Linked DNA regions of Macaca fascicularis. The protein of the gene in region 3 purifies or fractionates together with the protein of the main gene of each other region. This does not show direct contact. Links are inferred from orthologs where the notes say so. Each region holds a gene or a part of one and is shown on either strand. Other genes may lie near its edges.

Region 1 (4,090 bases), on a different chromosome or scaffold from region 3:
GCGTCTGACTCAAACTGAATGAGGTTATTTACTTGTATTTATTTATCCCGTACGAACAATCATGTATCTTGCTGCAAAAATATTAATATATTTGATTATGCAGTGTTTTCCCTAAACTCCCTGGGGTATTACAGAATATACAGTATATGACATTTGGTTTTTACCGAAGTCCACCAGACCACAGCAGACCTTGCCCTGATTGCTTGACAAAGTCTAGAGCCCCTTTCCAGCCTCTCTGAGGCCATACCCCTGGCTCCAATCCAGCCTTTTCTTGAGTAGTAATTGAGGCTGCTCGAACAGCTCAAAATGCCTATCATGACGTCAGTTGGAGAAACAAATATGCTGTGTGATCATATTGAAAGTCAATGTTATCACCTTGATGGTCAATGACCCGTGGTTTAAGAACATTTCGGTTTTTTAAAAAGTACCTTTCTATTTTTATCACCGGACGCTGGGCAGTTGAGGATCAGAATTAAGCCATTAGCTCGTAGGCTTGCAATGATATCTGCTCAATAAATATTTACCATTTAGCTGACGCACATCTTGGGCAGTAAGAACTTCTCTCACATCGTGTCGGCAGCGACAGACATGTGCGGAGAAAAAGTAACCGGAGGCCTTATACTGGCTCAGCTCCAGCAATAAATCCATCATTACTCCATGGAATTGGCACACTCCCCGGGTATATCTCAAGGACCCCACCCTCTGGCCGGCAGGATCGTATCTAGGGATCTCAATTAAAGATCTCGTAGTCAATAAGGGCGAGTTGTTCTAGTAACGCCAGAGATGGTGGACCTGCCGACGCCCTAGGGTGGGACATTCCGGGCTTGGATAGTAAGACATCGTAAATATACGCCAAAATGTCCACACCAACGTTTCCCGAGAGCACTTCTTTACAAGAAAAAGACCGACCCAAAATCATCCCTCTCAAAACGCGTCTCTTTGGAACTGCAGTTAGGGAGTAAGGCGTTCTGACTGACCCCACCTACGTCGGGCGCGCGCTCTCAAATCCCGGGCACCACGGTTCTAGACTCCTCCCTTCGGGAGGCTCAACCCCTCCCTTCTCGGCTACTTCCGGTCCTCACCGAACGCCCTCAACGCGCTTGCGCCGTTTTGATAGGCTTCCCAGGCAGAAGTAATCAGAGCGCTGCCTCTCTGGAACCGCCCCCGCCACCTCTTCGCCCCGCCCACGTGTTACCGCCCCTCCCGAAATCTCGCGAGGGTAGGTGCGCGTCGGTATTTTGCGGGCAACTAGCTCTTCCAGCTGCTGTAAATTGCTGCTGCGGGAGAAACTGGAGCCGCTGTCGCCGGCGCGCCCTTCCTCCCCCACTGCGAAGAGCCACCGCCTCTTTTGCGCTCCTTATACACCTATCACTGGGAGCGGTGGCAGCAACAGTCCGTGGACCCACCGCCGCCTCTTCAGGCGGCCGCTTTGCCGGTCATTCCCGAAGCCCGGCAACTGAGGGCGGCCACCTTTCCTTAACAGTCTCCTCTCTTCAGATCGTCTGCTCCCTCAGCCTCGCCCGGGACCCACTTCCCCAGTCTCGCCCGGGTGGAGGTCGACGAGGAGGAGACAAGAGTCACCCTTCCTCCAGGCGGCGCCGGCCCCCTCACCCGCGGGTGTGTCCTATAAATGGCGTCGGAAAGCGACACCGAGGAATTCTATGATGCCCCTGAAGATGTGCACTTAGGGGGCGGCTACCCCGTGGGGTAAGTAACTGCAGCTGTGGCCAGGAAGCCGGGCATCCCAGGCCCCCCGCATCTCCTGTGCCTTCCCCCTACACCCCTCCCAGGTCCCGCTGTGTCCGCCACCGCTGTTCCTCTCCGTTTCACTGGAGCACTTCAGAACCCAGACCTGGGGCTTCTTAGGGTGGGGTGACGCGGAGAAGGGGGAGTCGCCCACCTCGGGCCGCCTCCCGGCCGTTTCCCTACTGAACGGTCCCAGGGTCTCTCTCGGAGCCCGTTTCTCTTCTGATCCAGCCTTCTGTGAGGGGGAACAGCTTACGTGCCTGAGAGTCGGAGATTTGTATCTGTGGGGTTCTGAGCTTACCTTTCAAACATCCGTTTTGGCCTCGGAGACCGTAGATTAAAGGAGCAGTAACAGGAGAAATGTAACTTGTAGTTTTTTATCCTCCCGTTTACCGCTAACTTACCTATTCACTTCAGAGGTGGCTGTAACTCTCCCCTATTTGCCGTCCTCTTTTTCTTGCACACAGCGAAAATGAGCGGGGGGGAAGGTTGGGTATTTGCTTAAGAAAGTCCTCTAGCGAATGTACTCTAGATCAACAGTGTTTTATTAAAATAACACCTTGTCATGAGTTAAAGGAAATCGATTACACGGTCCCTATTAGGAAGAATGCGGTCTAAAAGGATGGCCAAACAGAAGAAATGTGCACAACTGACTGCAGAGGGACAAACAAGTGCTGAGTAATCTGGTGATTGGAAGGAGAGCCCCAGCTTTGTGTTCTTTATCTAATTCTGCACGATGTTTTAGTGGTGATTAATATGGGTGATTCTGAATAGGAAGTACAGTAGTTGGAATGCTCGCTTAACTAGGACTTGTATTTGCTTACCCACTTCTCCACTTTTCAAAGTTGGAGTAGTGCTTTAAAGCAATTTCGCCGAACTCCCCTATGAATGTACGTGGAAGTAGAGGCAGTGAAATATATTTTCATGCTGTACGAACTTGATGATTGGTAAAATTTGTATGTTAGTATAAAGGACTAATATGGTTCCAGAAGTTCACTGCCTTCAATTCTCATACTTACTCCGTGGGAGAAATACCCCCTGTGATGCAAGTATAGTTAGCCATGCATGCTAGAAGTCATTCTAAAAACTAATGTGTGTTTATACACAATATACACCAAAAAGTTACAGTAATAAAATCAGAAAGCAATGTACTTTGGTAGATTTCAGATATGTGTCTTTCCAACAACCTTCATGTCACTGTTGTGGGATTTTGGGGTGGCAATGGCCAATCTTGAGATGGCACCGAATCTCCTTCAAGTTCAATATCTGAGACAAGTTTAGAGCTAAGTGCAGAGGATAGGAAATACATTTGGGTTTTGAAATGTATTGGATTTCCGTGAAATTTAATTTTTTGTGTGTGTGGTTTTCCCTTCACAGTAATGAACTGACAATTCAGATTAAATGAGAGACCAAGTCCTTTGGTACTTTTGTGTGTGTGTATTGGGGTGGGGGAGGAAAATCATCAGTTTATGAGATGGTCAGTTTAGAACTACTCTGTGGATATTGTTTCTTTCCATTGAGTAAGTTTAATTTCAAAGGACGCAAGTTATGTCAGGACCTGTGTAAACTGTTTAGTCCAGTACCTGGGCACAGAGAAAGCATTCAAAGTGTTCGTGCTCGTCTCCTTCCTTTCTTGGCATTGGCATATTTGTTAACTTTACACAGAGCTTACTTTGGGAGATATATAGAACTTGGAGCTATTTTACTTATCTAAACCGGATGAGTCATTTTGACAGAATTGATAGAGTCACTTCTTCCCTCATGAGATAATATAGCTTCTCAAGCACTTTGATCCTCTGATATTAGGTGAAGACTAAAAAAGTTTCTCGGAACTCAGCTTTCTAATTTTAACGTTAACCTGCCCAATTACTAAGTGTGTTGAGCTCTATGGATAAAACTACAGGGTCAGTTTGTGGATTTCAGGGCTCCTTTCTGTATTAGAGGATTGGAAAGAGAATAGACTAATCTGGAGAATTGCATCTGAAAAGAACTGGCAGCACTGAGAGGGCAGAAAAAGGTTAGCATCATTTACATGTTCCTCTGTCCTTTGTGAAAGGTTGTATCATTTGCATAAGACACTATGAGGAGATCTGGGTGGGCAACTTACAACCTGGAAATGTAGTGAGAAATCTTGATTTGTGGAGACAGATTGCGTAACTAGATACTGGTCATCAGAAATATGTTCTGTTCCTTGATATGATCTGTAGTGGCAAACTATACAATTTCTTTTTTTTTTTTTTTTTTTTTTGAGACGGAGTCTCGCTCTGTCGCCCAGGCTGGAATGCAGTGGCCGGATCTCAGCTCACTGCAAGCTCCGCCTCCCGGGTTTACGCCATTCTCCTGC
Region 2 (4,024 bases), on a different chromosome or scaffold from region 3:
AACTGGGCGAGGAAGCAGCAGTAGAGAGCACTTTACAGTGAGTCTTCCAAATCAGGTAGGAAAGAGGGGGTAAGGTTAGGCTAAAGGAGAAAATTGCCATGAATTTTGTCTCTAAAAATGATGATTAAGAGTTAATGAGAGTCAAGATTTCAGGCCTGTTAGAGCAAAGCCCCAAGGAAATAAGAGTTGGACCCTGGAGCACAGCTGAGTCCTGGCTGGAGGGGTGGGCCTGTCTTTCTGAAAGGAGATCATGGAGAAAGAGGTGCAGATAAAGCTGTGTGGCTGCTTGAAGAGGGAAGTGATTACTTCCAGCTGGGGCACTCAAGGAAGGGATACAGACATTTGAGTGCCAGGGGCATTTGAGGGTAACAATGGAGGGGTTCAGTTGGCCAAAGTTAAAGGCAGCTGAAAGATGGCAGAGGACGAGACCAGGAAATGCAGACCAAGGTGGGTGTGGTATGGTTGGGGTGCTGGGGTCAGATGACACATAAGCGTCAAATTCCCGCTCCCAGTTGCTTCTTAGCTGCGTGTTCCTAAGAAGTTCCTTAACACGTCTGAGATTCCCCATCTGTAAAATGGCGACAATCCTAATAGGGTTGTTGGAGGAGGACTAGATAATGTCTAAAAAGAGCTCAGTCCGGTCCAGTGCTTAGCTCCTCCGTACCTGAGCGCCAAGTCACTACTATAAAGCCATCGGACGTGTCCTTTAAGGGAAATTAACTGGGCCACACGGTGTGAAGTGAACTGAGCTAGGAGAAGCCTGCACAAGACCTTGTATACACTAGCTACTCAGGAAACAACTGCATGCTCTGCTGGGCATCTCATATAGGATACGGTTTCCGTCTTTCCTGGGCTCACACATAGTCCCCAGTTCAGTTCCAAAGTTGGAAGGAAAAAGGATGAAGATGTAAATTCTTCAGTTAAGCCTCTCGCCAACTGCTCCTGCGGCGAGGCAGGGCAACGAGGTGCAGGGTCGCCAAGCACGTGCTCCCAAGGGTCCTCACTTTATTAAACCCGGCCAGCCAAGGACAAGGTAACTCCAGCCTGCAGCGCGCGGGGAAAGGCGCGCAGGCGCAGTGCTGGCAAGGGGGGGGAGCTCACCTGTGCTGGAGTGGGCGGAGCTAAAGCCGGAGCGGCATGACGTCATGAGGACGCAGCCGCAGAGCGATTCACGTCCCGGAAGCGGCCGTGGCGGCGGCGGCGTAGGCGGAGGAGATTTTCGGACCTGCGACTTCCGAACGGCCCTGGCAGGAGGAGCGGCGTTCGGCCGGGGCGGGCCTGAGGAAACGCTCTGGGGCCCAGTGGCTCTCCCCCTGCTCCTGCCCGAACCTGCCGTCTCTCTTACGGAGCCAGTGGCCGGGTACGTGAGGTGCCGGCCCCCCCCACCCCGCGTCCCCGTGTCTCCGCAGGCTGTGTGTAGTTGGGCGCTTGGGCGCAGCGGGGGCCGCCACCTGCTGGCCCAGCGAACTTGGGCGTGGCCTTCGCTGTCCTGCCGCACGGGCTCCATCAGGCCCTCCTGGCTGCAGAGGTCTTGGCCAAGGCCAGTGCGGGCGTCGACCTACCTCACCCCTTCCTGGGCTTCTACCTGGCGCCACTCTGTGCCTTTTCGCCCTGGCTCGGCCTGCGTTGATTTCGGCTCTCGTTGGCCCCTTTGTCCCATCCCCTCACCATCCCATTGTCGCGGCTAATTGCCTGGGACTGGTTTATGTTGCTCTTCGCCGAGGTTCCGCTCCCTCGTTTGCTGCTTAGCGTTCAGGGTAGGACTTTGAACTGGGAAAGACCGTAAAGGCTCCTGGGTTTCCTCATCAGAGAGGGCAGACGGGAATGCGGCGTTGTGATGCCGACTGCCCTGGGCGGAGATGGCCCAGGAAGTTGTTGGGAACTGAAGGGAGTGGGAAGGGTTAGAGGATGGGGCGGGAGTCCTGGAACACGGTATTTCATTCACTCATTCAGCAGGCATTTGTTAAGCACCCACTGTGTACAGAAACAGTCGTGAATGGCGGCCAAGTAAGAGCAGGGAGTTTTACTTGGACGTGGTAAGTGCTCTGCACTTGATCTTAGCCACAAGGCCAAGAAGCGATGTGATGTGATAAGTGCTCTGTTAGGGTGAGTACGTGATCCTTTGGGAGCATTGGGGAGGGTCTCCCAGTCCAGAGTTGGAGGTGTTGGCAGAGACTTGCCAGAGTAAGGGAGTGATGTTTAAGCTGATACCTGAAGGATGAGTAGGAATTAACCAGGTAAAGAGTGGGAGAAAAATGTTCCGGGACATCATTTCATTTCAGCCCATGGGCTTCCTCGCTGCAGCGATCAAATATGCTTGGTTTTTATGAATTTTAGTTTTGATGGATCTGTGGGGAAAAGAGCATTGGACGGAGAGTCCAAAGAACAGGATTTTAGGTCTGAATAATTCACTTTGCCTTGCTCACAGGTTTACTGTGGCGCCACCTGAAGCAGTAGGTAGAAGTGTGTTGGGGACTAGACGTGCAATGCAAATGTTGGTAATTATTATGGTTACAGGATGCAGACTTCAGAACGTGAGGGGAGTGGGCCGGAGCTGAGCCCCAGCGTGATGCCCGAGGCTCCCCTGGAGTCTCCACCTTTTCCTACCAAGTCCCCAGCGTTTGACCTTTTCAACTTGGTTCTCTCCTACAAGAGGCTGGAGATCTACCTGGAACCCTTGAAGGATGCAGGTGATGGTGTTCGATACTTGCTCAGGTACAGACTTTGTGGAGTTGCTCATGTCTGCTGTGCCTTCTGCCTTCCTGCTCTGTAGTAACTGACACCGGCCATTTAGGCAGTGCCTGGGCTGTCCTTTCTGCCCTAGTGAGGAGCAGTTCTGGGAGGTCTTTTCGGCCTCTGGGTTTATCTAGGCCTACCCTGTGTCTCAGACCCAGCCCAGGAAAGGCAGATACTGGGAATGATCCTGCCTTTCAGCAGGATTCTTCTTTGTGACTGAATAAGCTCCTTCCTCCGGACTGCTGGACAGCCTTGAACATCAGGCCTTCTGCAGCTTAGAGCAGGCTTAGTTTTTTCCTTTGCTCCCAATATTGGCTTAATTAATATTTAAAAATTAGGATATAATTTTGAACAAAAGTTTAAGAAATACAAAAATCTATAAATAAGCAGATACCATTTTCACTACTTTTTTTTTTTTTTTTGAGACAGGATCTTGCTGTGTTGTCCAGGCTGGAATGCAGTAGTGTGATCATGGTTCACTGTGGCCTCAACTTCTTCGACTCAAGCGATCCTCCTACTTCAGCCACTGTGCTTGGCTAATTAAAAAAAAAAAAATTGTAGAGAGGGTCTCGCTGTGTTGCCCGGGCTGGTCTTGAACTTTTGGGCTCAAGCGATCCTCCTGCCTCAGCCTCCCAAAGTGCTGGGATTACAGGTGTGAGCCACTGCGCCCAGCCCATTTTTGCTAATTTATTGAGATTATGGATTTTAATTTTTTCCCTCCTATCCTGCTTTGATTTTCATTCTCTATAATTTTCTTTTTTTTCTTTTGGCTCATTTTATTATGTTAAAATTATTATTATTATTATTATTATTTTTTGAGACGGAGTCTTACTCTGTTGCCCAGACTGAAGTGCAGTGGCGCGATCTTGGCTCACTGCAAGCTCTGCCTCCCGGGTTCATACCATTCTCCTGCCTCAGCCTCCCAAGTAGCTGGTACTACAGGCACCCGCCACAACGCCCAGCTAATTTTTTGTTTTTTAGTAGAGATGGGGTTTCACTTGTTAGCCAGGATGGTCTCGATCTCCTGACCTCGTGATCCACCCACCTTGGCCTCCCAAAGTGCTGGGGTTATAGGCGTGAGCCACTGTACCCAGCTGTTAACATTATTTTAAATTACTTATAGGGCATTCTACTCCCTAAATATGTCAGTTTTTCTCTCTAAATAATTAAGGACGTTTCTTTCAAGAACAAAGTAATATCATACCTAACAAAATTAATAACTCCTTGGTATCATCCTATACTCAGTTCATATTCCATTTCCTCAGTTGTACCATCTATTTTGGCTAAA
Region 3 (3,562 bases):
GCTAACGCATTTATTCCTAGCACTTTGGGAGGCTGAGGAAGGCGGATCTCTTGAGCCCGGGAATTTGATACCAGCCTGGGCAAAATGGCGAAAACGCTTTCTCTACAAAATGAGCCCAGGGAGGTTGAGGCTGCAGTGAGCAGAGATGGCGCCACTGCACTGCAGCCTCACGACAGTAAGACTCCGTTTTAAAAAGCAAAAAATAGATGGTAGTGAGGTTTTAAGTTACTATTTCTCCTTTAAATATGCCAGCTATATAATTTTAAATCAGAAAACACTAAAATGAAGCCTAAATTCATAACTAGTTTTAATAACTTAGTAGATTTTATCTGAACTTATAGGCATTATAGTTAACACTGGCAAAGTTTTGAAAATTTTCACAAGCTGAGTTTAGAAAGGGCAAAATCATAGATTCATATTTAATTTTTAATTGCAATTGTTTATTTTGTTGGTTGTGGAAAACTTAGTAAATTAGAAAGGCAGACAATTTGAAAATACTTGGGATCCATTAAGTTGATTCTGGATTCTTAAACATTCTGGTGTTTGGTTTCTTGAACCCTTCTTGGTTTTCTTTAAATTTGCATATTTGTGAAGTAATAGGAATGATACTATGGCCAGATACTGTTTAAGGCAAATCCCGGACTTGGTATAATTTAATCTCTAACTGTTTCAATGTATGTCTTTCAAACATGCAGGAGACAATATAATATATCCTTTTTTTCTTATTTAGTAATGCTACAGCCCTTTGACTATGATCCGAATGAAAAGAGTAAACACAAGTTTATGGTACAGACAATTTTTGCTCCACCAAACACTTCAGATATGGAAGCTGTGGTAAGTACAGAAGAAGAATTTATTTTGGGGAGTGGAGTTTAAACTGTGGGTTTTGTTCAGCAGTCAGTAGAAAAACTTAATTTCTAAAAACTAAAAGTTAAATTTAGATTTTTAAAAAAGTGCCAATGTCTTCATTGTAGATAATCGTAACTTACAGAATGAAAGAATTTTTTTTTTTTTTTTTTTTGAGACGGAGTCTCGCTCTGTCACCCAGGCTGGAGTGCAGTGGCGCAATCTCGGCTCACTGCAAGCTCCGCCTCCCGGGTTCACGCCATTCTCCTGCCTCAGCCTCCCGAGTAGCTGGGACTACAGGCGCCCGCCACTGCGCCCGGCTAATTTTTTCTATTTTTAGTAGAGACGGGGTTTCACCATCGTCTCGATCTCCTGACCTTGTGATCCGCCCGCCTTGGCCTCCCAAAGTGCTGGGATTACAGGCGTGAGCCACCGCGCCCGGCCAAGAATTTTTAAATAGTATTTTTTTTTTTTAGAAACAATTTAGAAATGCTGCTACTGGCCTAGTGCAGTGGCTCACACCTGTAATCCCAGCCCTTTGGGAGGCTAAGATGGGAGTATCTCAAGCCCAGGAGTTCGAGACCAGCCCAGGCGACATGACAAGACCCTGTCTCTACAATAAAAAAAAAAAAAAAAAAAAAACCCAACAAGTAAAAAAACCAACAGATGCCTGTAGTCCCAGCTACCCAGGAGGCTTGCTTGAGCCCAGGAGTGGCCACTGCACTCCAGCCTGGGAGACAGAATGAGACCAACTGGAAAAAGAGAAAAAAGAAAGAAATGCTGCTCTTAAGAAGAAAGTCCTGTGGTTGCTAGTGATATCATCGTGATTTTAATGGATGGTGATAGTAACTCTAGGATTATATATTCTGTGACATTAGCCAGTAACGATGGCAGGGTGATCAGTGAAGAGGGCACCAGTGTATTTCAGCCAAGCCAGGCAGCTACACTCATCTTTTAGCTGTCCCATGAGGTCACACTTACTTACCATGATCATACCTCCTATGTCTCATTTTTGGTTTTGTTTATTTTTTAGTGGAAAGAGGCAAAACCTGATGAATTAATGGATTCCAAATTGAGATGTGTATTTGAAATGCCTAATGAAAATGACAAATTGGTAAGTAGGAAAATGTAAAAAAAAATTGAAGCTTTGAGCACTCAGTTCCTTTGATTAATTTTGCTTCTATTTTTGACCTTTGAGGTATGTGTGTTATGGCTCTTTCATGTCATAAGACTCAGTGGTTAAGTTTTAAAAAACTTGGTATGCTTTTTTTTTTTTTTTTTTAAATAACATTTTGTTTATCCAAGAAGAAAGAAAGACTCACTTTTAGGTCTAGACTACATCCTGGAGAAGAATCCTTTAAGTATAGCAGATTTTTGTGGCGTAAACCACTACAGGTTCTTTTTTAGAATGAGACATGTATACATAATTTAAAAATACATATAAATTGCTTTTTGGCCATTATGTACCAGCAGTTTGGGGATAAAAAATTCACTTACATGGACAGTTTATTCCAGGTTTAGCTATTCCCAGGTATTTTGCTCACTTTTGTTTTTAGTCAAATCCATCTGATTGCATTCTTTAGTAAATAATTGTTATGCTGCTTACTCATTAGTGTAGGTCAAATACAATTTGGGGGACTGAGGGATATATGTGTTTATTTAAAAACAAACAAATAGTAGTCGGTGAATGTACAGAGTGGATTATAGTCACTTACCTTGTCCTTTTCCCTGTCTGGGTTGCAAATTTGAATCTTTGCCTATGGTAAGAGAGACTTGAAAGATAAGTTTTTCTGTGTGTGTATGTGACTTAATACATACAATAATATGGATAAATAGAATTGTTTGGCACGATTTGGTTACAGTCTGACATGACTACTGCCTTAATCTGGTGGCCATTTGCTCTATTGAAAAGTAAACATGCAGATTAAATACGTGGGCTCAGTTACTGTGTTTCTCTTTCAGGATAAGCAGAAATGAAAAGGTCTCTGGCAATTAGGTGTTGACCAAATTAGTTTTTGAATTTTTAAAATACCTCTTTTAAGTGATTTTTGAGGTATTTGCCAAAAGCAAAAAAATGTGAACACGTATATTCTCTGTAAAGTGAGTGTTAGATGGTCTGTGTATGCTTCCCATTTAGAGGTTTTCTTTTTTGGCTTAGGCTGAGGGAAGCTAATAGCTTGCACAGCTCTTACTGTTGAAATCAAGAAAACAAAACAGCGTATTGTCTGGATTGACTTTTTTTAAAAAAACATTTGGATATTTTCTCACTTAGAGTTTTATGTCATTTTTTACAGTAATTCAGTCAGCATAAATCTGTCTTCTATCTGGGCTTCTGCTATGCTCTGGATAGCACACACTTTGAGATGTGTGAAAAGCATTGAGACCGCAGGTATTTGATACTGCTGATTAAGAGTAGCTCTCACTGGTTTGGAAACCAAACCATTACTGATACAGTAATGACAGTTGAACCCAGCGATTTACCCATCTTGGGTGAAAAGAGCCGTTATGCCTACCTATTGGTCTAGCCCATAGTTATCCAAGAAAGTAGTTTTGGGTCTCTTTTAGCGCTTGAGCAAATACCGAATGGAGTTCCCAGAATCGCCTGTGGTGGAACTGGAGCAGCAGTAGTTTGAACGTGGAACCTTTTCAGAGCAGGTATTACTAGTAACCTGAAAGCTGTTAAGTAACTTCAAAGTACTCTAGAGAATATCTTGAG

Evidence for each region. The genes of interacting proteins can lie anywhere in the genome.
Region 1: the proteins of VAPA (region 3) and WDR44 purify together in Homo sapiens (affinity purification with mass spectrometry; 3 studies listed by BioGRID and IntAct, counting the BioPlex papers as one, with this or other methods). This does not show direct contact. The link is inferred for Macaca fascicularis from reciprocal best matches to the Homo sapiens genes VAPA and WDR44.
Region 2: the proteins of VAPA (region 3) and ZFYVE27 purify together in Homo sapiens (co-immunoprecipitation; 3 studies listed by BioGRID and IntAct, counting the BioPlex papers as one, with this or other methods). This does not show direct contact. The link is inferred for Macaca fascicularis from reciprocal best matches to the Homo sapiens genes VAPA and ZFYVE27.

Annotation. Positions count from the first base shown.
Region 1 is NC_088395.1:124,674,990-124,679,079, forward strand, and holds the start of WDR44 (WD repeat-containing protein 44), read left to right. Parts: upstream 1-1,232; 5' UTR 1,233-1,630; coding exon 1,631-1,707; intron 1,708-4,090. UniProt on the Homo sapiens protein: Downstream effector for Rab11 which regulates Rab11 intracellular membrane trafficking functions such as endocytic recycling, intracellular ciliogenesis and protein export.
Region 2 is NC_088383.1:106,691,153-106,695,176, forward strand, and holds the start of ZFYVE27 (protrudin), read left to right. Parts: upstream 1-1,166; 5' UTR 1,167-1,360; intron 1,361-2,517; 5' UTR 2,518-2,518; coding exon 2,519-2,715; intron 2,716-4,024. UniProt on the Homo sapiens protein: Key regulator of RAB11-dependent vesicular trafficking during neurite extension through polarized membrane transport. Promotes axonal elongation and contributes to the establishment of neuronal cell polarity.
Region 3 is NC_088392.1:78,284,258-78,287,819, forward strand, and holds part of VAPA (vesicle-associated membrane protein-associated protein A), read left to right. Parts: intron 1-730; coding exon 731-834; intron 835-1,879; coding exon 1,880-1,960; intron 1,961-3,562. UniProt on the Homo sapiens protein: Endoplasmic reticulum (ER)-anchored protein that mediates the formation of contact sites between the ER and endosomes via interaction with FFAT motif-containing proteins such as STARD3 or WDR44.